Linked DNA regions of Rhinolophus ferrumequinum. The protein of the gene in region 1 interacts with the protein of each later gene in a pairwise test. Links are inferred from orthologs where the notes say so. Each region holds a gene or a part of one and is shown in the gene's direction. Other genes may lie near its edges. The genes, in order: TFIP11, CFAP206, TRAF3IP3 and LATS1.

Evidence for each region.
Region 2: the proteins of TFIP11 (region 1) and CFAP206 interact in binary tests that used the Homo sapiens proteins (3 or more experiments, as listed by UniProt). The two-hybrid records come from large-scale screens. The link is inferred for Rhinolophus ferrumequinum from reciprocal best matches to the Homo sapiens genes TFIP11 and CFAP206.
Region 3: the proteins of TFIP11 (region 1) and TRAF3IP3 interact in binary tests that used the Homo sapiens proteins (3 or more experiments, as listed by UniProt). The two-hybrid records come from large-scale screens. The link is inferred for Rhinolophus ferrumequinum from reciprocal best matches to the Homo sapiens genes TFIP11 and TRAF3IP3.
Region 4: the proteins of TFIP11 (region 1) and LATS1 interact in a two-hybrid assay, tested with the Homo sapiens proteins (2 studies listed by BioGRID and IntAct). The two-hybrid records come from large-scale screens. The link is inferred for Rhinolophus ferrumequinum from reciprocal best matches to the Homo sapiens genes TFIP11 and LATS1.

What each region holds. Positions count from the first base shown.
Region 1 is NC_046308.1:16,470,182-16,478,118, reverse strand, and holds the start of TFIP11 (tuftelin-interacting protein 11), read left to right. Parts: upstream 1-4,934; 5' UTR 4,935-5,019; intron 5,020-6,606; 5' UTR 6,607-6,615; coding exon 6,616-6,824; intron 6,825-7,937. UniProt on the Homo sapiens protein: Involved in pre-mRNA splicing, specifically in spliceosome disassembly during late-stage splicing events. Intron turnover seems to proceed through reactions in two lariat-intron associated complexes termed Intron Large (IL) and Intron Small (IS).
Region 2 is NC_046286.1:44,652,067-44,659,557, forward strand, and holds the start of CFAP206 (cilia- and flagella-associated protein 206), read left to right. Parts: upstream 1-4,476; 5' UTR 4,477-4,735; intron 4,736-5,931; 5' UTR 5,932-5,932; coding exon 5,933-6,040; intron 6,041-6,686; coding exon 6,687-6,770; intron 6,771-7,491. UniProt on the Homo sapiens protein: Essential for sperm motility and is involved in the regulation of the beating frequency of motile cilia on the epithelial cells of the respiratory tract. Required for the establishment of radial spokes in sperm flagella.
Region 3 is NC_046305.1:21,819,872-21,827,509, reverse strand, and holds the start of TRAF3IP3 (TRAF3-interacting JNK-activating modulator), read left to right. Parts: upstream 1-4,621; 5' UTR 4,622-4,885; intron 4,886-5,209; 5' UTR 5,210-5,305; coding exon 5,306-5,384; intron 5,385-7,638. UniProt on the Homo sapiens protein: Adapter protein that plays essential roles in both innate and adaptive immunity. Plays a crucial role in the regulation of thymocyte development.
Region 4 is NC_046286.1:93,093,511-93,100,753, reverse strand, and holds the start of LATS1 (serine/threonine-protein kinase LATS1), read left to right. Parts: upstream 1-4,225; 5' UTR 4,226-5,310; intron 5,311-7,243. UniProt on the Homo sapiens protein: Negative regulator of YAP1 in the Hippo signaling pathway that plays a pivotal role in organ size control and tumor suppression by restricting proliferation and promoting apoptosis.

The sequences.
Region 1 (7,937 bases):
GTGCACTTGACCAAGTGGCCCCGACTCCATCGTAAGTCCTTCCACAAGTCTGGGTCATTCTAACCTAAACTTGTTTGTTTCTGTTGTTGCTGGTTTTTTAAATGGGCTGTTGGTTAATTTTTTTTATTTTGAAATAATTGTAGATATGACGTTGCAAAAGTAATACAAAGTTCCTTCTTGCAGTTTCCCCAGGGCCAACATCTGATAAAACTGTAGTCCGTACCAAAACCAGGAAACACAGTACAATGCTGTGGACTACAGACCACAGACCGTATTCAGTTTTCACCATTTTTTGCTTGTATTTACTGTGTTTCCCTGAAAATAAGACCTAGCTGGACTATCAGCTCTAATCCGTCTTTTGGAGCAAAAATTAATATAAGACCCAGTCTAATATAATATGATACCAGGTCTTATATTAACTTTTGCTCCAAAAGATTCATTAGAGCTGATTGTCCGGCTAGGTCTTATTTGGGGGGAAATGGTATTTGTGTGTGTGTATTTTCAGGATTTTTTTTCCTTCTTTCAGGGGCAGAATCTTCCATATATTGCCCCCAATGCACACAAAAACCCAGTCACATGTAAAAGCTCAATCTATTAATATAAAACAAAAATGGCTGTTCTGAAAAGGACCCCATCCCTGACCCAAGCTCCAGCTACTTCTTTTTGAAGCACTTTATCATACTCAAGGTTTTCCATTTATTTGCCTGGTAACTTGATTCAAGTTGGTCTTATTAGACTATACACTATGAGTTTGGGAACCATTATTTTTCATCGCTCACCATTTATGCCCATATCGTGCCTAGCATATGGCGGGCGTGGGAGTCAGCTCCCAAGGTGGCTCCCAGTGGTCCTTTCCTCCTGGTATGCACACCCCTTTTGAATGTTGTCCCTTCCCACGCTGAATAGAGTTCCAGGTTAATACAACATGGATGGTTAAACTTGAATTTCAGATCAAACGATGAATCATTTTTTCGTATTTTACAATACTTCATGGGACATACACTAAAATCTTATTCACTGCTTATCTGCAATTCAAATTGAACATGGCATCCTGTATTTTGATTTACTAAATCGGGCAACCCTATCAAATAGGACTCATCATGCAGCACGCCAGGTATTAGGGAAATGACAGTGTGTGACTTTGAAGACTAGATCATAAAAAAAGGTCATGTCTTCGGCCTTGTTCTCTCTGGATTCAACTCACTCTCAGGGAGACCGGTCGTTATGTCATGGGGATACTCAGCAGCCCTGTGTGGAGGTTTACATGGCAAGGAACTGAGGCCTCTGGCCCACAACCAGCACCAGCCTGCAGCCATGTATGTGGATCACCTTGGAAGTCGATCCTCCAGCTCCAGTCAGGCTGGCAGAGGACTGCAGCCCCAGCTGACATCGTGAATGCAACCCCAAGGAAGAAGTCAAGTCACAATGAGCCAGCGGAGCCGCTTTTGAATTTCTACCCAAAGAAATCGTGAGGTAATGTTCACTGTTGTTCCCAGCTGCTCAGTTTGAAGGCAATTGTTACATCGCAGTAGATGATACATAGGAATTCATTAAATATTTGTTAATGAGTGCCTCAGTGAATGAATGAATGAATGAATGAATGAAGAAGGCTGTGGCTCCTCATCTCAACCTGTGTGCTTTTGAGGATGCTTGCTTTACAAATAATGCCTTAGGCCTGCAGAACCTCATGTCCCAGCTTTCCACATAGGGATAGAGTGTTCGTAAGTTTTTGAAAGAGTAGAAACCATCTGTAAGAAACAGTGAAGGGAAACCAAATTTGCTAATCTCGGCAGATCTGGATTTTCAATTCAGGACACGAAATATATTTTTGTGACAAGATTCAAAATAAGAATAAGCCATGTGCAACTGTATAATGTCACTGTCCTAGAAAAGGTACTTGTGCTAGACTTTAAATATATCAGCTTTGAAATGCCACTTACAGATTGTTTCTATGGTATCAAACTATTTAAAGTGGTAACTGAGCAAGGATTTCCTCCCCCAAATCTTTTGAAGGCAGTATGGGAACTGTGCTGTATGTGACAGGCTGTATAAAGGCGTGATTAAGAGTGTAGACTCAGGTGATAATAGAAACTACCTTGGAAGGTTCAGGAACCTAAGAGGTGACATATGCAGAGGCTTTGTTTTTGTGACTTGAACAGACAGGAATCATTCTAGAGGTATTAACTCAAATAAATAGGAAGTGATAGCATGGGGGCCCCATGCATGGTATAGCAGGGAAAGCTCTGGCCTAGAAGTCTGAACTCCTGGGTTGCAGGCCTGGCTCTGTCCTTCAACTCGCTGTGTGGCCCTGGGCACATTCCTCGTGGCGTGGCCTCCTCCATCACCTCAGCTGTGAAAAGAGAGGGAAGGACTCATGAGTGTCCAAGGGTCCTGCCAGGCTCCTGCTAATGATCCTTGTTGCCTAGCAACCCCTTCTGGGAAGGCCACATGTCTCAATACCTCATTGGGAATCTACACTCGGGCCTGGATGTCCCTGAGTCCCAAAGCAAGGGTTTTTCTGGACAGTAACAGGAGACCAGGATAGATATGAGATCCTGAATCTAAACCTCTGGCTGCCTCTCTCCTTGCTTTCCCTGAGTCTGTGCATTTGAACCCAGAAATTCTGAAAAACCACTGACCTTTGAGGCTGAGAAACCTTCCTCACAAAGGTATGAGATTGGGTCTTTTGAATGAAAATAGCCCCAACCATGTACGAAGCTTTTACTACACCAGATTTACATATTTTAATTAGCACACTCCCCCACTCTTTTTTTTGTCCTGAAAACCACTCTTTTAGAGCCATACTGTCATTATCCCCATTTTACAGATAGGAAAACTGAGGTGCAGAGAGGTGAAGCAACCTGCTCCAGCTCTCAAAACTAGGAAGCAGCAAAAGGAGATTGGGATCCTTGAAGTTTTACTCCAGAATCTTCATTTTAAAAAAAATTCTAAGTACATAGAGAAAACATTTTTTTCTCTTAATCATTTGAGGTTAAGTTTCCTATTGCCCCCAAATACTTTAGTATTTCCAACAAACAAAGACATTCTCCAGTGTAATCACAGGACAACCATCAAAATCAGGAAATTAACGGGCACATCATGACCATGGAAACCTCAGATCCCATTTAAATTTTATCAGTTATGCCAATAACTTCCTTTATAGCAAAAAGATCCAGTTCATGGGATTGCATTTAATTGCCATGTCTCTTTAGACTCCTTCAGTCTGGAACGGTGACAGGGTCTTTCTTTGACTTTCACGACCTTGGCACTTTTGAAGATTACAGGCCGATTGTTTTGTAGAATGTCCCTTATTTGGGTTTGCCTGATCTAGCCTCGTGATTTGGTTTAGAGTATGCATCTTTGGCAGGAATATCACAGGAGCAATGCTGCGATCTTCTCGGGGCATCTTATCAAGTGGTAAGTGATTTCGATTGGTCCCATTCTTAAGGAAGCACACTCTGACCACTTCCTCAGAGCCTGCATTCTTAACGACCCCACAACGGTCCATTAAGGTCTCTTCTCCAGAGGCCACATGGTGGGGTCTATTCGGTGAAGCAAATCCATCAGTCCCTCATGATCAAAGTAACTGCAGCTCCAGAAAGTTGGCTGTAAAGCTATAGACATAGCTACAGAGAAGCCAAGCTGAGCTTACTTATATTTTTGGCTTTGGGCTATAAACAGATGCATACACATTTTCAGGCCCCGACTCAAAATGGTTTATCTCATCTCCATGTTTCCATCACTCTGCTCCTCAGTGGAACTTTAGTCTGTTAGACGCTCTCCCTCTGGCCTTCTCCTCTACTAAAACCACACTGTCCAGTTTCTTTCTTGAGTACATACTTCGTGTCAGGCACAATCACGCAACATGTCACTGAGGCTACAGAGACCATTACATCACAGTCCCCATTCCCAAAAAGCTGGCATTTAATTTACTTCATGTAGGTTCTCATTTACTTAATTACAACCCTGGGAGGTTAGACCCAAGTCTTTTGACTCTCAGTCCAGTGCTCTTTGTTCACTCCAATAACTGCCTCTTGGATCTTTCCATCGTAGGGAGGAGAGAGAACACAAGCAAACACTAACAGCTAACGCTTCCTAAGCACCTACTGTGTACCGAGTATAGTTTTAATTGCTTATCTTTTTTATCCATTGGATCTTCAACCATTTTGCGGAAAACTGAGGCTTAGATGTAATGACTTGCCCAAGGTCCACAGATGGAAAGTGGCAGAGCTGAGCTAGAACTCCAGGGCCCGTGTGCGCACACAGAGTCCTGAGCTGGTGAGGGATTCCCTGGGACTGGCCGGCGCTTGTCTTGTTCATTGTATCCTCTGAACTTAACATAATGTAGGCACTCAATGTATTTTTATTACATCAGCGAATGAATGAATGGATTTACCAACCTGTTGGAAAGAGAATGGAAAGATTTCCTGGAGGGAATACTTGGGACCTCTAGAGTTTACCCATTCAGTCCTTCACTCCCTCAAACTCCGAGATAAAAGGCAATGCTCTGTGTCCACAGGATGCTCATACTGAGACTCCAAAGACACAGGATACGGTCTTGACCTTCATTATTCCCGTATGAATGCCGTGTCCCCGCCCCTTAATGTCTCATAGGATCCCTCACAGCTATCCTATGAGCTAGTCCTATATCCCCATTTTACAGAATTAGAATTTCCGGCTGGCAAAGGAGCCCGCCAAGGAGGCTTGGCGACGTCCACACTAGTCATTACCGGCTGGGCGTCACCCCGAAGCGGGCACGGCAGGGAGGCTGACAGAGCCGGGATATCATCCCCTCGCCATTTGGGGCCCCGAATACCCGCGTCTCCTTTCTAGCATCTCAGCCCGGTTGCTTTAGCACCAAAGCCGCAGAAGCCTTCCGCTGCTGCCATGGCAACCAGCGCACCATTTCCGCTGTCGGACAACGTCATTTCCGGCGCGCCGGATCCGGCACATCCGGGTTCGCACTGTCTGAGCGTCGCGCGTCCCGACCCGGTCTTTGGGACCCTGGGCTCCGGCTAGGTGAGTCCGCCGGGGAGTGGCAGGGGACGGGGGAGCTCCGCAGCAGGGGGAGTGGGTGTGAGGCTGGGCGACGCACGCCTCGGCCTCGCGGGGGTGGCTGCCGTTTCGCAAACAGCTCTGCCGCGGCCGGGAGAGGGGCGGGCCCGCTCGGGGTTACCGGGAGTCGCGGCCTGGAGTGCGTGGGGAACCCACCTCCACCGCGAAGCCTGGCCGCGGGCTGCAGGCCCACCTGATGTCGAGCCGTGCCAGCTGGGGAACTTAGGGCAAGTTGTTTAATTTCTGATTTTTCTTATCTGAAGCATGGAGACGCTAATAGTACCAACCTCGTAGAAGTGTCTTCATGCTTGCATTAGATTGTTGGCTTTAAATGCCCGGCAGGTACTTAGCACCAGCTGAGGGCTCTTTAATTCGCGACAACTCTGTGATTATTACCATGCCCTGTGCTCAGGGAGACCGTGGTATTCTTGACTCGGGCACTCAGCAGTTTCCCTCCTTTGCACTCCTGGATGTGTTGGGTCCACTAGCACCGAACCGGTGCCCCAGTGAGTAGAAGCAGCAGGGAAAACTAACAAAGCTGAGCAGAGTTTGACACTGCCTGTAGAAGTAGTGAATTCCCTGACCCTGAAGTTTCCTTGCAGCAACTGGTAGAGAAGAATCACAGATGCTATCATATATTGAATGTATTACTGTGTAGTGCACCATGTTTCAAACTTCATGTGCCTGTAATTCTGATACACCGAGTACCTGGTAGAGGGGGGATTTGAACTTAGGCTGGGATTTTAGCACCTGATTTCACAATCACTTTGCTAGGTTCACTTCCTAGTCCAATGGTAGTGATGTTGATGAACGGAATCGTGGGCTACAGTAACAGCTATTGTTCCTTGAACACTTAGATTCTGAGTTACTGTATCGTCTCATTGACTCTGCCTGGCAAGCGTTCTCTAAGGTTGGCACGGTAGTTAATGCATTTAAGAGCAGAATCTCATCACTCAGCTACCAAGAACCGAATTTTCTGTTCCAGTCAATAGATGTTGAACTGTTAGGTAGTTCTTAATCACGACTGCCCTCCAGCTCATCAGATATTCATGTTTGGGAGGAAAACTAAGTGTTGGAGTCTCATCAAGTAATGTGTTTCAAAGCGTATTTTAAAGAAATCCCTTCCTGGGACTGCCAAAGGTCCAGATATAACTCTTTTCTCAACAATAGGAAAAAAAAGTAAAATGCGGATCTGGGATGAAGTCTGCACAATTTCTACGGCAATAATATATAGAATAACTTAATTATTTTTGTTTGGTTTGTGTGAGTGTGTATGAGAGAAGTTTTATGACAGTAGGACAAGGAAATACATGCTTAAGAATCACATAGACTGTTGGATGGACTAATCTTTTGTTCCACCTGTTTTAGGACTGATGGGTTTCCAAAACACATTTTTAATGTCTGCTTTTTTGAATTGTAACAATGATTTTAACAGACTCTGAGTTTGGAGGACGTTCTAAAGGTAGCAAGGCGCAGGAACTCAGAAAGAAGCCTTCTCTTGCTGCTCTCAGGACTTACCACAGACTGTGCCCTTTTTGTCTCTGCCGTTAGTGACTGGCCATGTCGCTGTCCCACCTGTATCGGGACGGGGAAGGCCACATGGATGACGATGAGTATGAGCGGGAGAACTTCGAGATCACTGATTGGGATCTGCAGAATGAGTTCAACCCCAACCGGCAGCGCCACTGGCAGACCAAGGAAGAGGCCATCTACGGAGTGTGGGCAGAGCGAGACTCGGATGAAGAGAGGCCCAGCTTTGGAGGCAAACGGTACTGGCTGGCCTGGGGCTGCTGCCCCTTGCTTTAGAGAAGGGGTAGGCTTCATGGGGGGGGAGTTGGGAAGATACCCCACTAAATATACTTCTCTCCCGGCCGTCCTGCGTCCCTTAGCTGTGACTTCAAGGAGGGAGGCCCTGTTTCCTCTTTAGGTTCGAGTGCTGTTCTTTCACTGACTTAGTCAGTCGTGTTTATTGAGCACGTGCGTAGGGCCTTATGCTATAAGCCTATCCTTGCTCAGAGCCCGGATCCTCGTGGATGGAGACAGGCATTCAACAGCTCACACAATGGAAGTTTGTAACTGTGATTTAGAACCTGAGGGAGAGCATGTTTTAGGGTGTTCTACCTGTTCTGGAAGGCCAGGGAAGACTTCTCTGGCGAAGTGACCCTTGAGCTGATAGAAAAATAGAAGGTAACAAAGGTGCTAGAGGCACGAGTATGTAAAGGCCCTTGCTGGGCGGCAACCGGGTACCCACAAGGATATGAATGACTTTGCAGAATGGAGCGGAGAGAGGGAGGGGAGCAGAGTGCAGCTTGAGAAGAGGCCTGTGGCTCTGTGTAGAGAGGGTGTGACATGGGGCAGGGTTACATTTAGTGACCTTTTGGCTGGTGTGCAGACCTTTCGGCATGGAGCCGCGGTGGACAGGAAGCTCTGTGAGGAGGCCGAGGCAACAGTCCCTGCAGAGGTGGCGGAGGCCTGGGCTAGGATGGTGGGAGGGAGGTGAGGACTGAGCCGAAAGTCTCCTCAATGTGAAGTCATGTGTACATGTGTGGGCTGCGACTTGCTCAGCCAGAGTGTGCAGCACGTTTGGGTTTGTCTCCCTGTCCCCATCCGTGGCCTGTAGGCTCCAGCCCACTGAGATTGTGCTTTTTTTCACAAAGGAGCCCGAGAATAGAGTACAGTTCAATCTCTTTTCGTCTGGCAAGGAAATCTAAAAGTGGATGGTAAATAGAGCAGGGGTCAAGAACTGCATAATTACAAGGCAGTAAGAGCAGCCAGCATATGTTGGCTGCTTCCTTGTGGGTTCTACACTTGCCTGGTCTCATTTACCTTCTGTTTGAGAAAGGCCCCGTTATCATCAGCCCATTTTACAGGTTAAGAAACTG
Region 2 (7,491 bases), on another chromosome or scaffold:
CAAACGCTTAAAAGAGTTTTCTTCAAATTTTAAATACCAATTAGAGCAATAAGACTAAGATGGCTCTGTGACTGAGCTGTGTGGTCTTAGGCTGGTCTCTGATGCTCTCTGAATCTTGAATCTGTATAATAAAATGACAATAGTTCACTCTCTTGTGAGGCTGTTATAAGGAAGAGCCATTTGTTATTATTGGTGTAATAACTGTAAACTCTACTCTTCCAGATGTTAATTATACATCTCTGTTTAATGGAAACTTTCTTAGTAAGGTTGTTATAATATCTAAAGAACTGCTAAATCGCTTTCCTGGATCAAAGCTGGTTTAAAAGCCCCAGTCTATCATAACAACTGGTCTGACAACACCCTAATTCCAGACTAAGCCAACCATCTACTCTTCTCACCTGCTCCTGAGCTATATACTGAACAATTTCTAATGAAAGTCACTTAGCTTGGCAGATTGTTTTTACTTTATATTCATGATTGTAACAGTCAGGTGAGCATTCATACTTCTCAGTTATGAACTGAAAATTTCTATTAAGCATAGTTTTCTGCTCTCCTAGAAGACTATTTCCTATTATTTTCTCTCCAAGATTACCCACAGTTCCACTCCTGAGCATGATGGAATAGCAAGGACTGGACTTAACTGCCTGCCACAAACAACCAGAAAACTGGACAAAATATAGTATAAAACAACTATTTCCAGAAATTGGGAAAATAGCACAGGACTGAGATAAAGGTCAATGACAGAAAAGGTTGATTGCTCCAATTTTCTGCTTGGAGGCAATTTCCAGGTCACAGGAAAGTAAACCCAAATAGAGTTCAGAGACCTAGCCTAGTTGAGGAGACAGAGATCACCATTCCCAGAGGCTGAGGGAGCTGGAATTTGAAGGGCAGAGTTTTGGGAAGCAGAGAGCAATGAAGAAAAAGATTCCCATAAATCTGAGTCTTTGCTAAGTACTTGGCTGTGCATACGTAGACTGAAATTACACACAAACCAGCAAAGAACCAGCAGGGAGTTGTAAGCTAAACAATTCCCAGAACTCACAGAGATGGGCAGACATTCGAGCTCTGAGCAGCCAGAATTGCTTCCACTGGTTTTCCAGTGCAAAGCTCTGAGCAATCATTACTTAGAGTAGGGCCAAATTATCCCTGGAGTGAAGACTACTCTAGACTCATCTTAGTAAAGTTTGAAAACATCCCTCAATGGAATAATTTAAATGCCTGAAAAAAAACAAAATTCAACACTCATTAAAGGGAGACAAAAAATTTATTCACTCAACAAGAATAACATTCACACTGTCCAACATTCAACAAAAAATTGTAAACATGTTAAAATGCTCAATTCATTTGTTCTTAAGACATCAGGGAAAAGAAATATATATTCCCCTCCCTTTAGAAATGTGATAGTCCCTGACATCTTTAAGTTGCTTAGTCATAGAAATTAAGTCTACAACATTCTTGAAGATAATCCTTTAGCTTTTAGATGAAAACATTCAATAAAATGGTGCTTATGTCCTCTAGTATGACTTCTATCACAATTAGTCAGCTCTATTTATTTATTTTATGTTAAGTTAAACCCACTACTGTATGTAGATTTGTAATCTGGTGTTCTGAAGCAATATAAAGTTTGCTTTCTAACAAAACTGAGAGTAATTCTCTCATGCTACCTTTTCTCAAGGTCAGCATACCCAATTCCTTCCCCGCCTTTTTTTTCTGACAAGGTTGTTCTAATCATTCTCTGGAGATACTTTAGTTCCTACATGTTTCTTTTTAAATTTCTGCCATGTTACAACTAGGAAAATTAGTTCTGCAAAGACTGGAAGTTCAATTAAGTCATGTGAATATGAAATATATTTTCATACTTGATTTTGTCAATAATAGTAATAAAGGTAATAATAATATATAAAATTTATCAATCCTTGTAACTATGCCAGACAGTATGCTAAGTGCTTTATAAGTATTACCTCATTTTATTCTTACAACTCTATTAGATGCTTTTATCTCTTTTACAAATGAGAAATTTTGACCATTGAAAGGTTTACAGATGAACTAGAACCATAATAATACTGTATAATAAGCTACCCCAAAACCCCAAAACTTAGTGGTTTAAACAATGTTCATTTATTATCACACATCTAGAGGTTGTCTGGAGTTAGGCTGATGGAGGTCAGGCCCTGTTGGACAGCTCTGCATCTCACTAAAAAGTGGTTCAGGCAATTCTGCTCTATATGACTTTCATTCTTCTCCTGGGACCAAAGACCTAGCCAGGTGTGTTCTTCTCATGCCAATGACACATCCTCAAGAGGGGAAGCACAAATGTGGTGGGGTCGCTTAACACCTTAGCTCTGAACTTGGCATAATGTCATTGGCCAAAGCAAGTTATATAGCTAAACTCAAAGTCAAAGGATGAGGAAGGATACTCAACATAAGTCCATGGCAAGGGAATGCATGCAAGGAGACGGGAAGAATTAGGGCCAATAATTCAGTGTAGTACAAAAGGCTAAATAATATTTCCAAAGTCATACCTATTGTAATTAGCAGTTAGGGATTGAATTTGGCTGAATGTAGCAGAAAACCTAAATAATAATGGCTTAATAAGATAGAGATTTATTTTCTCTGATGTTAGGGGAAATCCGGAAGTAACCAGTCAAGAAGACTGATATGGTTGCTCTGTGATATCATCAGGAACTGAGGCTCCTTTTTAGATATTTGTTCTACCATCGTTATCTTCATGTTCACAATAAGGCTACTGGGACTTCGGCCAGCACATTTTTATTTTAAGTACACAGAAAAGGGAAGGAGATATAAAATGAAAGGGCTCTTTTTCTGACACCCCATCAAGTGATTCCACTTACATCTCATTGGTCGGTACCAGGTCACAGGCCATCCCTAGCTGAAAGAGGGGTTGAGATACATTTTCTTTTTCTTTTTCCCCCAGCAGATAATATTGTCATTCATGACATAATCTGGATTAGTAAGGAAGAAGAGAATTGATTTTAGGTATGAAATTAGTATCAGACACACCCAGGAAGTATTTGTGCCAGGATTTGCCCATTAGTTAAAATTATATTTAACAGGATGGCATTACTCTTACCATCTTAAAAATATTTGATATTCTAATTTATAAGTAATATATACTCATGAAAGAATTTTGCTAGATATTTTAAAGCATAAATAAGAAAACAGCCATGAACTCATTGCCTAGATACAACCATTGTTAAAATTTTGCTATATCACTTTCTTTTTGGTTATTTGGTCTTGTATATTTACATTTTCCAAGTTGGGCTCATTCTCTACGTGTAGCTAGCCCCCTCTCTCCATTATGTTTTCTTTATTTTGTTTTATAGATAAGACAGTATATACTCATTATAGAAAATATCAGAAAAGCATAAAAATTCATAACCACACTCAAATAAGTAATAAACAAATAAACAAAGTAAATAATAACTTACCCTTACTTAGATCCAAACACAACAAATGATATTGATAAATTGACTTATGCACTTTTAATATATATGTGTGTATATGAATATGGTTGAGGTCATACTTCTATAAAATTTGCATTTGGCTTTTTAAAAATACAAGACAAAAATTTAAGATTTTTGTTCACATTATTTGTAATGCCTAATATCTCACTTTAATCAACATTTTTTAAATATCAGATGTGTAGAATTCTAATGTTTTACTATTACGTATCTTGCTACTCTAAAAATCTAATTTTGCACAAGCTTCATCCACATTCCAGGAAAATTTTCTAGAAGGGGAAAATAAATCATTTTATACTATGACTTGCGTATTTTTGTGTAAACTTATTTTCTAGTAATCTGGGAATATCCTGAAGCAAAGTATATTCAGTATATTTTTTTGAAATTTGAGAAAAATTACTGGCAGTGGCCTGTTTAAAAATAAAACTTTGCTTGATGCTCTGCTTCTAATATCAGTTTGATCCTATTATATACTGTCATGTCAGTCGCGGGCCTAACGAACATTAATGCTAAAGTACAAAACCTCAATATGTCAACTCCTGACTAGTATGTGTCATTATTCCTGTGCTCTTGGACCATCCTGTTACGGACTTCCTTTGACAACAGCACAAAAAATTAAACTGCGGTCCTTTTCACTTTTGTTTTTTTAATACTAGATACTTTCATATGAACTCCATTTCTCAACGATACAACCTCTCCGGACTGGCTCCTGCCTCCCCAAGACCCTCCTTTTTTCAAACGCCTGTAGGTTCCCACGCTAGCAAGTTAATACTCTTGTTTAAGAAATCTTGTATTTGTCACTCTTAACCTTGAGGTGTAGTGAACCTGTTCTTCTCTGCCTGGGGTTTAAGCCTTTGTGTTTTTGTTTGGTTTTTAAAGTTCTTCCCGCGCATCCTTCGGGGAGAGACTCACAAGGTTGGCCCCGCCCACACCATGGCCCCACCCCCTTCGGTCTCTAGCGTTCGATCTCTATGGTTACGCGTCCGCCGCGGAGAGCGCCCAGCTGCCCTGAAGGCGGGAGCAAAGACCCCGGAGTAGGTCGGAGAGACACAACTCTTCTTCTCGATTCCGCCAATGTCAGCCCATTCGGGGCTCCACGCCCTTGAACTGGAGGTGTACCCCACGAAAAGGCGAGCGTGGGGCGATCCGGTCTAGCCTGGTCGAGTTTTAACTGTCAGTCAGGACTCCTCCCGCCGCGCGACCGCCGAGCCGGAACACTTGTCACTTGGGTTTGGAGGCGCCCCGCTTCGCAGGTCAGACCTCTAATTCACCTTCCTGACACTGCTCCGCGGCGCTCGCACCCCCACGGGCCAGAATTTCGGAGATTTAGTGCTTCACAGAGTGGGGAAGGGAAGGTACTGAGGGGCGTCAGTAACCACCCAATGCGAGGAGCCTGACAGCGCTCGCGCACGCGCACACAAAGACACGGACATGCGCACAAACGCGCGGCTAACACTACTTGTTACAAGCTGCTATTTTAAGAACTTTCTTTATGCCATGTAGTATTTTAACCACTAAATATAAAACTCAGTCCTCGCAACGACTCAGAGAAGGGGGGTAGTAATCGTATCTGTGTTTTCAGATAAGGAAACCGCCTCACAGAGAAGCGAAGCACATGCCCAAGGTCTCAGCTAGAAAATGGTGGGGTCACAATGGATGACAGGCAGTCTGGTTCTAATGGACAAAATGGCAAGTGCTTACCTTGCCTGAACTCTGTTAATGCTGAGAGTTAGCGTTATCTACGTGGAATTGCCTTTGTTGTTCTCTACACGCTAAGTTCCCCTGTGCTCAGCTACTGATACTCAGGAAAATCAGGCAACTCCATAACCATTAAAACCTACCACCTTATCTTGGTTTATAGTAAATGGAATAACCAGGAGTTCGTTTTTTTTTCCATGACGCATAACTCTCATAGTATGTTTTTCTTTTTGTTTTTACGTTTTTAATGAAGAGCCCAAACTCCAACTTGGATATGCAGGAAAGAGAATTTAGATGATCTGAGCAAGAATTCTTTTCCAAGACTCCTATAGTATGAAAGGTCATTTAGTAAATGTGGAATAGCATTTCCTCTTTCAAGCTGTTCTCTGCCACCTATACAGATGGGATAGAGTTTCTTGTTAATTCTATTACCACACCCCCATACTGTTTAGCCTTTATTTTAATTAAAAAATATCATGATATAATGTACTTTTGGTAATCGCCATTATTTAAATAAAGAGGAAATGTTTCAATCGTTTGAAGTCCCACTTGCTCTCTACCTCAATAAAGCCCTTAATATTGATAAATATAAAACTAACCAATGAAAACATGAGGGGGCGCCTCAATGCTAAGTACTAAAGTTAATAAATAATATTATGACTTTACAAATGAAATAGTGGAGAAATCTAAAGAAGGAAAAATAATATGTAAATACAGTTTGAAAAACACAATCATTGTTTTATTTTGTTAGAATGCCTCCCACTCAGGCAGAAAGTGTTATAAAGAATATCATTCGAGAAATAGGACAAGAATGTGCAGCCCATGGAGAGATTGTTTCTGAAACTCTGGTTGCTTTTATGGTAAGAATGAATATTTTTGTGAATTAGTGCTTTATTAAAATATGTTAAGCAGTGCCCATTTTCCTCTTAAAATTCTTTAATGCTTTCCTAAATGTTATTCAGTTGAAAACATCGATATCTTTGGACCAGTTAGCAAAAAAAAATATTTTTTAAAAGTCTATAAAGCATGTCAGTTCTAGATTTGTAGAGAGTGATTTACAAGATCTTGATGAGTTTTAGAAACATCAGTAATGTCCTGTATTGGAGTTTTTACATCTATTTTTTTTTCACATCTATTTTTACATCTATGTTAAACATCTGTTTTGTTTACTGTTGTAAAAATTACTAATTACATTGGTATCTCGATTTTGGCTTTTGATTTAACAATACACAATAATATTCAAATAGTTTACCAATCTAAAATCTAGCCATTGCTTTTAACATGTTTCTCCATATAATTTTTCTAGCACATATTCAAATTTGATGTTTACTGCTTCCTTTCTTCAACCTCTAATGAAGGTGTTGATGAGCTGGGTAATAAGAAAGTCAGCTGAATCATCAACCCCTGAGTAATCAAGAGACAGTTACTTAAAAAATGAAAACATATTAAACTAATTTCATAATAATATGAAATAAAATTATTTAATGGACTCTTTCCTACTCTCAGGTGAAAGCTGTTGTACTGGATCCAAGTAATGGCTTTAACATGGATAGAACCCTCATAAAAAGTGATGTGCAGAAACTTGTTAAGGTGATTATCCAACAATTCTCAAATTTTGAAACATTTATTTGCAATTCTAAATACAGCATGTATGTTAGCCATTATTCCTTTCAGCTCCATGAAACAAAAACCCACCAAATGGTGGTGCAAACAAATAAGGGATTGATTTTTTTCTCATAAAACAAAGTCCAGAGGTTCATAGGCTGTTTCTCCTGGCTTCCTGGGTCACTGTGGTGCATATGGATTTCATCCTATGGTAGCATGATCGCGTTTCACCTTGAGGCAGGTATGGGGAGGGGGACCAGCTGGGCCTCTCACTTTCTATCCCTCCCATCTGCTTAGGTTTAGTGACCAGAATGATATTGCAAGTAAGCTTGGGACATTGATTTTTTTTTTCTTCTTTTTTAATTGAACACACCTTTGCCCTAATCCAAAATGGGGCTTTGCTAATAAGGAAGAAGGGGTGTGATACTGGCTGGTAGCAGTGTTGGCCACAGTATTTTAGAGACATCTTGTTATTAAACTAATGTACATTGCGAACATTTTTAACTGACTGGTCATATACTCTAAAGTTACATAGTACTACATTAAAATTCATATAATTATTGCTTCAGCGTAATTTCTATTGTTCTATTCTGAAGGAAAAATTGAAGCCGAAGTAAAATAATTCATAGTTAGAAATCAAGTAGATGTGCCTGAAAACCAGTTTGAAGAACTAGAGAAGGCAGGAACTTTCGACATCATTAATTTT
Region 3 (7,638 bases), on another chromosome or scaffold:
TTATACTAAAAGGTCCTCCAGAGAGGCAAACTTGCAAATGTAGGAGAGAAGGAAATACTTATCTTCCTCCTTCCCCGTGGATGGATAAGTATGACAACCTTATTAATTGACTGTAGCACCCCTGAGAATGAATACTTGTGCTTGGGGTGTTTGTGTGGACACCTGACTAAATAGTTACAAGCTAGACACTTAGAAGACTAACAAGGAGAGTTTGCAAGTCACTCGTTGGGGGAAGCCTTGAAAAGGAACAGATTTAAGTGTGCCTACCCTGAGCCACTCTGCAATTTCCCCTCACCACCCACCCCTTCTACCTCTTCAAATCTTAGGGTGCCAACAGGCCTCCATGGGCATCCTGTTAAGAGTGTCTGTGGCGTTCTAGAATGAATAATTAGACTTGAGGAGTGCATTGATGAGACAACTGTGCAGGGAGTATAAGGGAGGAGTCTAAGGCAAGAACAACTCTTATGGGCAAGGTTGCCATTTCCCATAAGATGGATAAGGAGTCATCCCGTTAGGTAGGAAGAGGAATAAAATTAATACTAGTAGCACCCATAAAGGGTTCAAATTCTTAGTGCTGTGTCTTATGTTATAGCAGGAGACATATTAGCATACAGTTTTAAATTTTGCCTTTCATATTTAGGATTCCCTCTAGTTACCTCAACCCTACAATAAAATCTGATCATCCCATCCATGCTTGTGTGATACTGTGAAGAGTAAAGCAACAGGGTTACAAAGCAAATTGTCGCTTACCCTATATTTACCCCTTCATAGGAACCCATAGAGGGCCCAACACCTATCAAGGAAACCATGTCATGAATTTCCAGGATATGACCACCAACAAAAAGACTGGAAATGGTGAGGAGAAGCACAGAATTCTGGCCAGTAAGTGCCAGGTGACCAGCTCAAGACTAATCTAAACCCTCCTCTGTACTGACCCATACCATAGGAAGGGGACTCTTAGGTAGAGGCAGGTTGATGATTAAATTGCATATCTCTACATGCAATTTAGAGATATGATAAATGATTTTGATCGTATCAAAAATGATATGGTAATTTGATAAATGAGAGTTTTCTTAAATCCTTTTTATCCAGATTTTCAAACCACTAGCATAGTTACGCAAATGTCTCTAAAGTTATTTACATTTCCAATGTATTATGTATGAAACATGTATTTTCCACATCTCATTAATAAATTTTTACAGAAGTGCTTTCTGTTTTTTAATTGCTTTAGCTACCTGGTAGTTTATTAATTTTGTGTTCTATTGGTATTTCTACCTCTCTGCACATGCACAAACAAGAACCAGCTCCTGAATTTATTCACCAATTCTGCTCTGACTTGTAACTTATATTGTTTTCTCCTTTTGCCTTCTTTTTATTCTTACTTCCTTTCCTTGATTTTTCTGACCATTTCTTAGAAATTTGTTTGAAAATAAATAGCTAATTTATTTTTAATCCTTATTTAGTAATGAAAATATTTAAGGCTATGAATTTTCCTTGGGCCCTGCCTTGGCCACACTTCATAGATTTTGTCCTTACTGTTCTCTTTAGCGTTATTTTCAAGGCACTCTAAATTTCAGATTTAGTTTCCTCTGTATTTTAAGAGTGAACCAGGAGAATTTTTCTCCAAGAAGTTGAAGGGTTTATTTATTCCCATTTTTGTTATTTATTTCTAATTGTGTTGTACTGTGGTCAGAGAATTATACCATAAGAGAGCAACTTCTTTTTAATATTCTGAGGTTTGCTTTATGATCAATATGATCAATTTTCTTTTTTTTTTTAAATTAAAGTTTATTGGGGTGACAATTGTTAGTAAAGTTACATAGATTTCAGGTGTACAATTCTGTATTACATCATCTATAAATCCCATTGTGTGTTCATCACCCAGAGTCAGTTCTCCTTCCATCACCATATATTTGATCCCCTTTAACCTCATCTCCCACCCCCGTCCCCCCTTACCCTCTGGTAACCACTAAACTATTGTCTGTGTCTATGAGTTTTTGTTTCTCATTTGTTTGTCTTGTCCTTTAGTAGTTTTTGGTTTATATACCACATATCAGTGAAATCATATGGTTCTCTGCTTTTTCCGTCTGACTTATTTCACTTAGCATTATAATCTCAAGATCCATCCATGTTGTCACAAATGGTCCTCTTTCATCTTTTCTTACTGCCGAATAGTATTGCATTGCGTATATATACCACAACTTCTTTATCCATTCATGTATCGAAGGACATTTTAATTGTTTCCATGTCTTGGCCACTGTAAATAAAGCTGCAATGAACATTGGAGCACACGTGTCTTTATGGATAAATGTTTTCAGAGTTTTTGGGTAGATACCCAGGAAAGGGATTGCTGGGTCATAAGGTAATTCTATTCATAATTTTTTGAGGAACCTCCACACCGCCTTCCATAGCGGCTGCACCAGTCTGCATTCCCACCAACAGTGTGTGAGGGTTCCTTTTTCTCCACAGCCTCTCCAACTCTTGTTACTATTTGTCCAGTTGATGATAGCCATTCTAACGGGGGTGAGGTGATATCTCATTGTGGTTTTTATTTGCATTTCTCTGTTGATTAGTGATGTGGAGCATTTTTTCATGTCTATTTGCCATTTGTATGTCCTCTTTGGAGAAATGTCTCTTCAGGTCCTCTGCCCATTTTTCAATTGGGTTGTTTGTGTTTTTTTTGTTGTTGAGTTGCATGAGTTCCTTGTATATTTTGGATATTAGCCCCTTATCAGAGGCACTGTTTGCAAAAATCTTCTCCCATTCAGTTGGTTGCCTCTTTATTTTGTCGATGGTTTCTTTTGCTGTGCAGAAGCTTTTAAATTTGATAATAGTCCCATTCATTTATTTTAGGTTTTATTTCCCTTGTCTTTGGAGTCAAATTCATAAAACGCTCTTTGAACCCAAGGCCCATAAGTTTAGTACCTATGTTTTCTTCTATGCAGTTTGTTGTTTCAGGTCTATGCTTAAGTCTTTTATCCATTTTGAATTAATTTTGGTACATGGTGACAGATAACAGTCCAGTTTCATTCTTTTGCACGTGGCTATCCAATTCTGCCAGCACCATTTATTGAAGAGGCTGTCTTTTCTCCATTGTATGTTTTTTGCTTCTTTGTCAAAAATTATCTGTCCATATTTATGTGGTTTTATTTCTGGGTTCTCAATTCTATTCCATTGGTCTACATATGATCAATTTTCTTGATGCTTCATAGGCATTTGAAAATAAGGTATATTCTCTATTTCCAGGGCGCTTTCTCTCTCTCTGTCTCTCTCTCTCTCTGCCCCCATGTGTGTGTGTTTCTCTTTCTTTCCCTCCATGTTGATAGATAAGTATACAACCTTAGCTCAGGCTTTGATGTCAAGCAAAACTGCATGAACTTGAACATACTGCTAACCTCTCTGAACCCCAGTAAATGTGGGTGTAGTGCATAGTCCTAAAATGGATTTTGATTTTCACATACATTTCTTTTCTATTTTTAATGGAGCCCACATAATTGGTCCACAGGAATTTCTGTTACAATCTCCAGTCCTCTCCTATGCTCCATTACCCAAAACTCCCAAAACGTCTCATTCTTCTATCACAATAAAATTTTCTTATTCTGCCAGCTTGGGCTCCCCAGCCCCTCTGTCCTTTACTCACTCCCATCTCCATATTTTAAGCCCCAGAGACAGGACCTTGGGCTACTGTCTCTAGTGCTTAAAAATCCATCCTCTGCACTTCTGCCTGCCTACTCCTTGTCCTTTTCCTCCTCAGAGAATGGGGCAAATAGTAGGCAATGGAGAAGACATTGACATAATCCCCATGTTAATAAGTGTTATCATAGCTATTTAAACATCTTATTATGAGCCTCACATGTGTCAAGCCTTAGAACTCACAGGTACCATATAAATCATGCAACCACCATACTGAGTGGACCATTCAGACAAGGTGATTTGTACAAGGTCACAGAGTGATTCAGGTAACTTGTCCCAATCCAGTTCCCTTTCCACCATCTTATCCTTGAACTTCTGGGAAATGTCCTGACTATATTATTTATAATAGTTGCTTTCTAACGGACACAGATCAGTTCCATTTAGTTTTTCCCCTAAATTTCCCAGTCCAATTGACTAGGGAATTTTTATAAGATTCTGCCTACTATTGCTCCCTTCATCCCCCAGCCACAGATCTACCACCTTTTCAAACACACCCCCACCCCGCCACTTCAGAAAAGAACAAATTCAGAGTTGACCTCATTCCAGAATTTTAAAAAAAGACACCAGGTACTTCAGAAGAGCAGAGACTCTTTACAACACCAGGACTGGGAAGAGGTAACTAAAGAGAAAATCCTTACACAGAGAGCTACCTGATATACATGAAAGAATTACACTAGGAACATCGTTTTTAGGTCAAAAAGGCATTTTTCCACCTCATAGAAACTGCAAAGTTTGAATCTGACGTAGAGACCCATCCTTGTCTACTCCTGAAAAGGGATCTTGACTCGAAATTGTCTAAGAGCTCAATAAAAGAAAAGAAACTGTCCGAAAGTTCAGACCAATACAATAGTAAGAGAAGTGTGCCCAGGGTGCCTGCTGATGGGAGGAGTTCCCGAGCCCAGCCCTGGGGGCCTCAAAGGTTCAGGGGCCCACTCAGATTGTGCCAGAGAGCAAGAGAGAGGAACTGGGGTGAGCAAGCATTGTGGCTTTGTCTGCTTCCTGTTTCAGCAAAGCTTCTGTGTGAAAAGAAACACAGTACCGAGAAGGGAAATGCTAAGGGGGCACAAAGCCATGGACTGAGAGCTTGCACTTTACTCAGCTACTGTCTTGCCCCATCTGAGACCAGAACCAAGATTTTCCCAGGAGCTGGAAGGCTTTCCTGAGCTGCTTGGGTTGGAGCCCGAGACCTGAGGTAACGGAGAAGGAAGATGTTTTTTGTCCAAGTTGGGGGCCTCTGACTCTGGGGTGGGACAGAAGACTGTCTGTCATCCAAGCTTCCTTGGGCTGAAGGGGAAGACACAAGAGAGGATGGTGTAGTTTAAGCGTGTTGGGTGTTCGATAACCAAGAAAGCATCCTGTGTTGGTTTCCAGAGCCACTGGCCACAGCACAGCGGTAGAGCTTCCACTGCTCCTCTGCTCCACCTGTTAGATTAAATTAGAGTGAATCAGATGACAGGTTTCAGGCTACCCAGTGACAGGGGCTTCATTTAATGACCTTTTCCATTTCCCTTCAAAGCAGGGATCCCCAAAACAAGAAGCTGCCTTTCCAGCCCCTGAGGTGTACACCTTTCTAAGCTCACACTGAGAGCTCTGGACTAGGAAGGCCTAGTCCATGCAGGAAGCCATTCACTGCACACAGAGCCAGGAAGGAGGAGCAGAGACTTGGAGAGGCAGCAACGAACCACTGTCAGGTGAAGGGCAGTGCGCTGATATCTCCCTCTGGCAGTGAGGAGAGCTTCCCACAGCCAGTGCCTCATCTCCCCCGAGCTCCAACTGGGCCCTGTCAGGCTGCCAAGGGGCACCCCACAGATGCCAGAAAGCCCGGGCAGTGGCCCAGTGACCTTTCGGTGAATCAGAGAGGGACCAGTTCCTTTTTCTTCTTTAGCCCCTCCCTGTCCGTCAGCTGTCCTCCATGGCCTCTTATGTTTAAGCAAATCAGAACAGAATAGTCCAGATGTCCCAGAAGGCTGGGTATGAGTCCCCTCAGCTGTCCACACCAAATTGACCAGGGTGAGGCCCTGGGTGGGGGAGGAATGCTCCCTTCTCTAAGGAACCATTTCGACTGCAACGCCCTACTTGGGTAAGAAGCCCCAACATCTGCCTCTCAGGAAGCAGAGCAGGGCAGCGTGTGTTTCAGCAGACCAGTACAGACAGCCTGGTAAGGTGCACAGACCTCTCTATCTCCTCCCCATGGCCCTTCCCTCTACACAGTAGGACGGTAGGAGGATTCTCCAGAAGCAGGGATCTGCCTCCTCTACAAAGCCTGCTGATTACCTGGAGCCAAGCAGGGTGGGCACCCCACATTTAATGGCGGATGCAGGCAGGCTGGGCACCCATCTCTTCTCTGCCTTTCTACCAGGCCTAATGGAGAAGTTGGTTGTGTCCAGAAGCAGAGAAGTCTTTTCTCTTGTGGCCCAAACCCAGAGGTCAGGTGAACCAGAGTAGTAAATACGATTCCATCCCGGGGCCAGCATTTTCTCCTGTGGTAAACAGTACCCCTTCAAAGAGAAAAGGGATGGGGGATTAGAGGATGGGGCATTCTCAGTCCTAGGAGTGCGAGGTTACTTTGGGGCCTTTGTCTCATAGCACTGAGTCTTCAGGATCCGCGATCAGCAGGACAGGGCTAGTCACAATCATAGCTTACCTTTATTATCATTGCAGAAGGCTAACATGTATTGTGTGCTGTGCCAGATACTTGGTGTGCATTTTCTCTGTAATCCTCATAACCTCATGAGGTAGATTCTCATTTTATAAATGAGAACACTGAGGCTTAGCACATAGGGAGTAGGTGACAGAGCCAGGACATGAAGTCACACGGTTTGAGCCCAGAGCCAGGGCTCCCCCACCTCCCCATCCATGGCAGAATAGCCAGGGCTCTGGCACAGGATGCCATGGTGTAGACTCTGGACATGGAATTCACTTGCACATAATCCCAGTCTCTGCCATCCAGTCATTTATAACTTAATATGAAAGGGCCCCTCAGATCCTTATCTAGGTTTTTAAATAAAGAAAGTGGCAGGTGGGAAGTCAGGGGACCCCTACAGAGTGAGCAAAAAGCCTAGAAAGAAGGGAGAGCCATCCATGGATGGGACCACAGGACAAGCACTGACCACCTTACAGCTCTGCTTGGTCAAGGTCAGCCCGGCCCAAGACCAGAATACGCCCCTCCAAGCCTCGAGTCAGGCAGGTGAGAGCGTGCAGGGCTTGACCACTCTCCAGGAATGAGACGTCCCTGCCCAGGACCCTGGGGAATGAGTGGTGTGATCAGAGAGAGCAAGAGTCCTGCAGAGAAGCCCGGACGGAGCCAGCCGGCAGCGAAGGCCCATGAAGGGGCAGAGGCTGCCTGTTGAGTCTGCTTACCTATAAATAAACCCAAGGGGCCACAGCTGGCTAAGGCCTGCTCCTGGTGACACTGGGGTACCCTTCTCTGACGCACCCAGGAACTAAGTTTCCCAGGGTAGTGGGTAGTCAGGTTGTGGGACCCAGAGGAGAAGCGGAAGCTGTAAGGGGGAGTCCCCCTTCCTGCCCAGTCACTCCAGTGATGAGTGGAGACAGGGCACAGAATTCCCAGTGCTCAGGATCCAGCTCAGCCAAGCTATCAGAGGGTTTAGGAGAATAAACAAATTTGCAGAAGGTAGGTGAGGGAGAGAGAGAGAATGGCACAGAGAAAGAAGAAGGATTTGGGGGTATGTGAGTAGCAGGTAAGGTCATGTAAAGGGGCCACAAAGTGTGGCTTCTACATGAAGGCCTAGGGACTTTTGGTTACTGTTTCTGTTTGTTTTTGTTTCATTTTTGTTCGCAATAGCCTTATCCAGGTATACTTGTGTGATTGCTGGTTTTGATGGCACAGTCTGTGTGTGGGCTAAGGAAAGCAGAATTGGCACCATACTTAGCTTTGACATGGAGGTGATTCCAAAAAAATGGAACACTCAGTTTGGAGAGTTA
Region 4 (7,243 bases), on another chromosome or scaffold:
TTCTGTAAAACTGTCTTAGCTGATTTTAACAATTCTGATACTTGTTCAGTTAGACTGCTGAACTAGTTGGACTTAAACCCGTAAATTATCAGACATGATACTCCTAAGCCATACTTCCCATATTCTTGAGTTAATGCACATGGTTTTGATCCTTTACTATAGGTCCATCTTTCCTGCTCCAAGAAGACAAATTTTATTTTTGTATAGAAAATAATTAGCCATCTCTTTTCAATCTTTTCTGTAAGAGCTAATTATTTTCAAAATTGCTCATCACGCTTTCTGCATTCTCATCCCACTGGTTAGGAGATAGGTTAAATGGACTAAAGTGCTTATGCCTACTCTTAAGAGTCCTCTCAATTACCAGTGATACATGAATCATTGGTATTTGGCTACAGTCACTGAAATATTTATAAACCAACCTAATTTATTGACATTCTGCCCCATTTATCTTGTTCACAAGGCTTACTGTGAGAAAACATCTATGCTGTAGCTATCATCCTATCAAAAAAATTGGCCTAATTTAAAAATTCCTTGTCCTTTGTGAAAATACCATAGTATTATGGAAATAACCTTTTAATAATCCATTCTAGATTCTTGTCCAAGAAGCATACTGAGTTCACCAGTGTACGGTGTTTATCAAGACTTCATTTAAGCTTACAGTATCAATGTCATATGTAGCTCAGACTAATTCGATGAAGCAGTAGCAGTGCTCTTGTTTTCCAGATGTGAAACCCAGGGAGATCTAAACTATGACACGCAACTATTTGAACTATTTCATTGACGTCATTCTTAACTACGATTAATTAAATGGCGGTGTAGAAGAACTAACAGCTACATCTGTGACTAGTCATCCTAGCATCAAAACAATTCCCAACAACGTTTCACTATACTAGAGGTGTACATGGAAGAAAAAAATGAAGGGATGGGCATGGTGAGAAGAGAGAAGTCGAATGACTAAAATCTAGCTGATCACTTAAATGTTTTTAATTAATGAAAAATAAACTAATGTTCAGTTCCAAACTGTCATGAGTGGACTTTGGGGGAAAGTAGCTGACAGACCAGCCTAACAAAGCCATCAGAAATGCATTCACTGTCAAAACAATTTTTGTGCAGGCCATGGCTATATGAAGTTAAACTGTAATACTAGAATATAAGAGACAAGATGGCATAAGTAGGTCAACACCGTGCCTGCTTCCTTCTGTGAACACATTAAAATTACAACTAAATTATAGAACACTCAACCTGCAGAACAATCTGAAGTCTGGCTGAACAGAAGTTTTATAACTAAGGATATAAAGAAGCCCGTGGAAACTGGTAGGAGGGGTGGAGATGTGGAACAGGCCCCACACCTGTATGTAGTGGTTGGGAATCAAAAGGGATATCACAGCTGTGAAGGTTCCCCCTGGAGAAGCAAGAGACCACAGCCCCACGCCGCCCTCCACAGCCCGAGTACTGTTGCCGGGAGGAGGAGCCTCCACAACATCTGGCTGTAGAAAACAATGGGGATTCCGACCATCTGGGTGGGATGTAAGTCTTCAGGAAACCCAGATTTCCTCTTAAATGGCCCTCACACAGACTCACTCACTCATAGGCACTTACCTTGGGCTCCAGAGGAGGGACAATGACTTGGGGGGCATCAGAGCCATACGGGGGGCAGAATGAGGTGTGTGGCCTCAGGGCAAGGGTTGAAGGACAGTCATTTTCCCTGTGAGGAGGCCTCCCGTGCCGCCAGAAGGCGGGTGCCATCTTTCCTGTATTGAGCCTGCCCCCTACAATTACAGCCAAATCTGAATCTGATTGGTCTCGTGAGCTCAGATGTAAAGTACAGCATAGGGAATATAGTCGATAATATGATAATAACTATGTATAGTGCCAGGTGGGTACTAGTCAGGAGGATCACTTCTTAAATTATATGAATGTCTAATCAATACGCTATACACCTGAGTTAATATAATATTGAAGGTGAACTGTAATTGGAAAATTTAAAAGGGGGAACGGTGAAAGGGTATAAGAGGTCCAAATTTCCAGTTATAAAACAAATAAGTCATGGAGATGTAATGTACAGCATAGGGAATATAGTTAATAATATTGTGATAGCGTGGTATGATGTCAGATGGGCTTATAATAGTGATCACTTCTTTAGGTATATAAATGTTGAATAACTATTGTGTACACCTGAAACTCTTATAATATTGTATGTTAGCTGTATTTTTAATACAAATCTTTTAAAAACACTAGTCTGTAAAATAATAGCTGCAACAAATCACAACAGTTTTTACCCCTGGATAGTATGGAATGAACTTAAATTTAAAATCTCTGCCATTCAGGTCCTATAAGCAATGATACACTAGTAACAATGAGCACACCTAGAAACCAGATTTGGTTTCTAATGCCCTTCTCCAGTAAAAGGAACCAGGGCTCCTTAAAGGGGTAGGATATACACAAGATAGCCTGAAGCATCTTGTAGTGCCAGAAAATAAGGAAGTTCTAAAAAAAATAAAAAGCCCACAATAATGGGAATATATCAAAGGGACACAGAAGCCAACCGGAAGAGCTCCCAATAACCAAGGTGGAACAATTTGATCAACAAAATAAATAAAATATCCAAAGTATAAATATCCATGAGTCCACATTGATATAAACGCTTGAATGAATGGGGGCGGAGACAAATCTCAGAATTCCAAATAATTTATGTAGATTCTCTGCCATCAAAGAGGCAGCAGAATACAGCACTCTTCTCCTTCGGTGTGGGCTGCTCATAGTCTAGAGCCTTCCCCTAAGATTGTATGAATTCTTGGGAGGGCTAATGCTGTCAGGGCTACCAATAGTCTCCAGACTTCTTCCGTGTGTGCTGCTCCTCCATTCCTCCATTCATCCGAGCATGAAATTTGGTCCCTACATAATGTTGGTAAAAATACAATGAAACCAAGAAATGCCACTTCCATGAAGCACTGAGGAGCTGAGAAAGCTGAAGCTGGATCAACGGTTTTCCATCACAGCAATACAAAGACCTTCAAATACAATGGCAGATATTGCCATTCTCAGATATCCAGCACCCCTAGTAAGCATTTCCCTGGTCTTTCACCTCCACCTCCACCTCCACCCCCACCTGCAGTCTCAGACCCTTTTCAAATCTTGTAGGTTAGTTCTCTCCTGATCACTCCTCTCCCTTCCCGGCCCTTTTGTCCCCCTACTTCACAGAAGTAAATCTCCTAGTCTTAGAAAGCACAATTCACAGAGCTCCTTGAATTATCTAGGAATTTTCCCGTACATGGTGGCCTGTGGAGCTACTCACCTTTATGCTTAGAGAGAATTGAGAAACTTCAGTGAGGAAGTTCAATGGGTTGGTGATAGAGATGATGACCCTCTGGAGGTAGGATGCTATTCCAGATACATAATCCTGGAAAGGGCAATCAGGACTGTGAATTTATTAGATTCAGATCATTTATATAATTTTGAGGCTGAAAGGGACCCTCGAGGTTACTTAGTTCTCCCATTGAAGCAAGTTATACCTAGGACTTTTAAGTGACCTTGGTTCATATTCTCTATTTCCTACAAACTCTGCTTGTGGAACAGAGTTTCAATCAAGTGCTCTTAGAATGTAATCTTTTTTTATTATTATTAATAGTTTCAGGTGTACAAAACAGTGTAATAGTTAGACATTTATACCCCACAAAGTGATAACCCCCTTCCCTAATCTACTACCCCTCTGACATCGTATATAGCTGTTACAGTTCCACTGACTCTATTCCTTATGCTGTACTCCACATCCTGTGACTATATATACATATATGTATTAAATTATAGTTGAGATTCATTATTATTCAGCTTCAGGTGTACACTGCAGTGGTCAGGCACCTCCACTGTCCATGAAGTGGTCTCCTTAATAAGACAAGTGTCCATCGGATACCCTATAAAATCTTTATGATATTATTAATTATATTCCCCAAACTGTCTTTCATATCCCTGTGGCCACCTTGTGGTTAATGACTGTGCTTTCTAATCCCCTCACCTTCTCCCTCATCCCCACCCCCTACCAGCTAGCAACCCTGTTTTTCCTCTATATCTCTGACACTGTTTCTGTTTGTTTTGTTCATTTATCTATTCTTTAGATTCCACATATAAGTGAGATCATATGGTATTTGTCTGTCTTCGTGTGGCTTATTTCACTTAACATAATGTTCTCTAGGTCCATCCATATCATTGCAAATGGTAATATTTAGAATGTAATCTTTTTAATAGAGGTTTTCATATTTGAACTTCTGGATACAGTAGCCAGTAACTAATTTAACATCAGAAAAAGAAGTCATTAAGTAAAAAAAAAATTAATAGACTCTAGTAGGAAAATAATGAACGGGGGTATTTGGAAATACCAACTGCATACATTTTCAAGAGGCAGAATTGGCCAAGGTGCTCTTTACAAACATCATAAACCCAATGATTCCATCCTAAATTTCCAATTCAATTTAACAAAAAACAAAACCTCTATTTCAGTCACCGTTATTACAGTTATCGCAATAGTGACTTTCTCTTCTACCGATTTGGTTGACAGATAAAAATCTTTAAACTCTGTTACTCTTTCTTGGTTCAAAATTATCTGGCTGACTCAGAAAATACTTAAAGTCACGGATTTACTGGGGGAAAGCGTGCTAAGCAAAAATCAATTTATTTCAAAGCTGCCAGAAATCCTGAACCTTTACGTCCACAGCGAAGTTTCAGAGAGCAAATCATTGCTGTTTCCTTCTGAGAATTAAGCTTCTTTGAGAGGCGCATCTTTATTCCATATCTGTCCATTGAAAGAGCTCACTTGAAAAAAAGACTGAAGTACATGCGTGGGCTTCAGCGGGCGAGAGCTTGGTCCCACGAACCGGGGCGAGTCACCTGGGCAGCGTGAGGCGGGGGCGACGCGGGGAGACGCTGGCGAACTCGCAGAGAGGGCAGCGGGTGGAGGGCAAGAGACCGCAGGCGGCGCTCTCCAGGCGGCCGGGCGGGCAGAAGCCCCCAGTCCTCGGGCCCCCGCGCAAGCGACGCCGGGAAATGCCCACATCCGGGAAACCTGCAGCGGAGTGCGGCGGCAGCGACACCGAGTGGAAGGCAAAATGGCGGCGGCGGCGGCGGCCTAGTGCTAAGGGGAGAGCCAGGTCCCCGCGACCCTCGCGACGGGCTGCGCTGGCCTGTGGCAGCCCCCCGGCCTCTCTCCCCGCCCTGCCCCACCGAGGATACTTGGGGTCCCTGGGAGGGACTCCGGCCGCCTTGGCGCCCGCCCTCCGGCCCGTGGCCGCTGTCCAGGAATCCCGCACTCCGTTGCTGGTAGGTCCGGGGCTAGCGTAACGGGTGGGGCGCATCTCTCCTTCGGAGGCCGAGTTGGCGGGGCGGTGGCCGCCGGGGCCCACGCCCATCCCGGCTGGCTGGGCTCCAGGGGCTGCTGCGACTGGCGGGCCGGCTCGGCCCGGTGCGGGCCTGAGTTGGCTGATTGCATGGACCTGAGAGGAGCCCTGCCCTGGGGAAGCGAGGGTTGGCCGTGCCGGGGGCTGGAGGAATAACCCCAGGCTTTGCGGCCTTGGAGGTGCAGGTTAAGCTGGAAAGAGCCTGCCTTGCTGAAGGCTTTGTGGCGACTGTCTGCCACCTCCATCCCCGTCCGCAGCACGCAGGGATCAACGGTGTTTAGGAAGGAAGGAAAGCGAAAGGTGGTTCTGAAGGAGAATTGCAGTGAAAGAGCTACAGTTCTTTGCAACCAGAGGGACCCGGTCGGTCCTGAATATACCTTGAAGAAATCCTAGGAATTTCTATGTACAGTCCACTGTAATGTTAGGTTACTGTTCATAGTTGGAAGGGGTGGGAGAGAGGGAGGGCTCTTTATGGAGTAGGAAGGAGTGTGTATATAAATACAGAAAATGAAGAAAGGAAAATTAAGGGAACATTATTTATTACAGCTTCAAGAAGAATTTGTATCTTAAAAAATGCCTCTCAGGTGACTTGATTTAACCCCATTCTCTGACTTTTTTAATTGAAAGTTATTTTTTAAAGGAACAAAATTTAATAGTTTGTCAACCCATATGTTAATATGACTTAAAATATATGTCATCACGTAGAAGTTATTCATAAACCTAGTAAGAAATATAGTCGCACACACAAATAATACTGTGCCACTCCAGTTTGGGAAGTGGATTTGAATGTCTGGAATCAGGAAGCTTGTCAGGGCTTTGTGGATTATTTATTGAAGATTTAAAATTTTTTATCAAATTTCCTCCATGAGGAAGAAAAGGTAAGAATATAATTGTTCGTTGTAATTACAATGAGTGTTCTCTGCTAAGATATCTACATTGTGATTTAACTAAGGTTATTTCTTTCCTTTAGTAAGTTGACAGACAGGTAAAATGGGCTAGTTGATTCCCTAAGGCAGTGGAGGAATTTGACTGATTTAACAGTAAAAGAAGTAGCATTGTGTTCCTCTGATCAGCTGCTACTGCAAGAAACTAGATCATGGTACATGCTGGAAAGGTGCAGTCTTTCTATGGCTAAATAGTTATTGAACATGCCATGCCACTCCCTAAAAGCAAATAAAAAATTTCTGCTACATTTTTTTGGGTATGATATCATCTGGATTTACTTCTGTAGTTTGAGTTTTTATTTTTTGGTTTTTGTTTTTAATGCTATTCCTTGATGTTTTATATAAATATGTATAGCCTTGGAACAGTTCCAATTCTGGTTATTTGGTTTTCACTTTAGATGTTAGGTTTAGATTAGTGGGGGATTTTTGTAGACCACAAAAGTTATTTAGTCATTGAGCAACATTTTTGTCACATAGACATGACAGTCATTTTTCAGCATGTAGATAAAATAACACTGATTGTCTTCACTTTTGATGAGTTAATTCTTAGAAAGCGAATTGAAGGATATATCATCATACAGAGATTCTTGATTATTGCTGTCTAAACAACTAAGACTGCTGCTAAGAAAGAAACAGTACATGTTACTGTTGCTATTCTCATAACTGATTTAGTCAGAGCGTTGAGACAGGCCATCTTTTTTATAAACCTAATTCAACCCAAGATAACACTCTGAAATGTGTTTTCCTAGGTTGGACAAGATATCAACAGTATTTCTTTGGATTTACTGACATTTGTTGTCATTTGATGAAAGTCTGAACTTTCAAAGAAATGTAGGTTTTGTCTGTTTAGTCTAACCAATTTCATTGTTCGTTCAAAGAATGAGTGAGTCCTGATCCCTGCTCTTAGGAAAC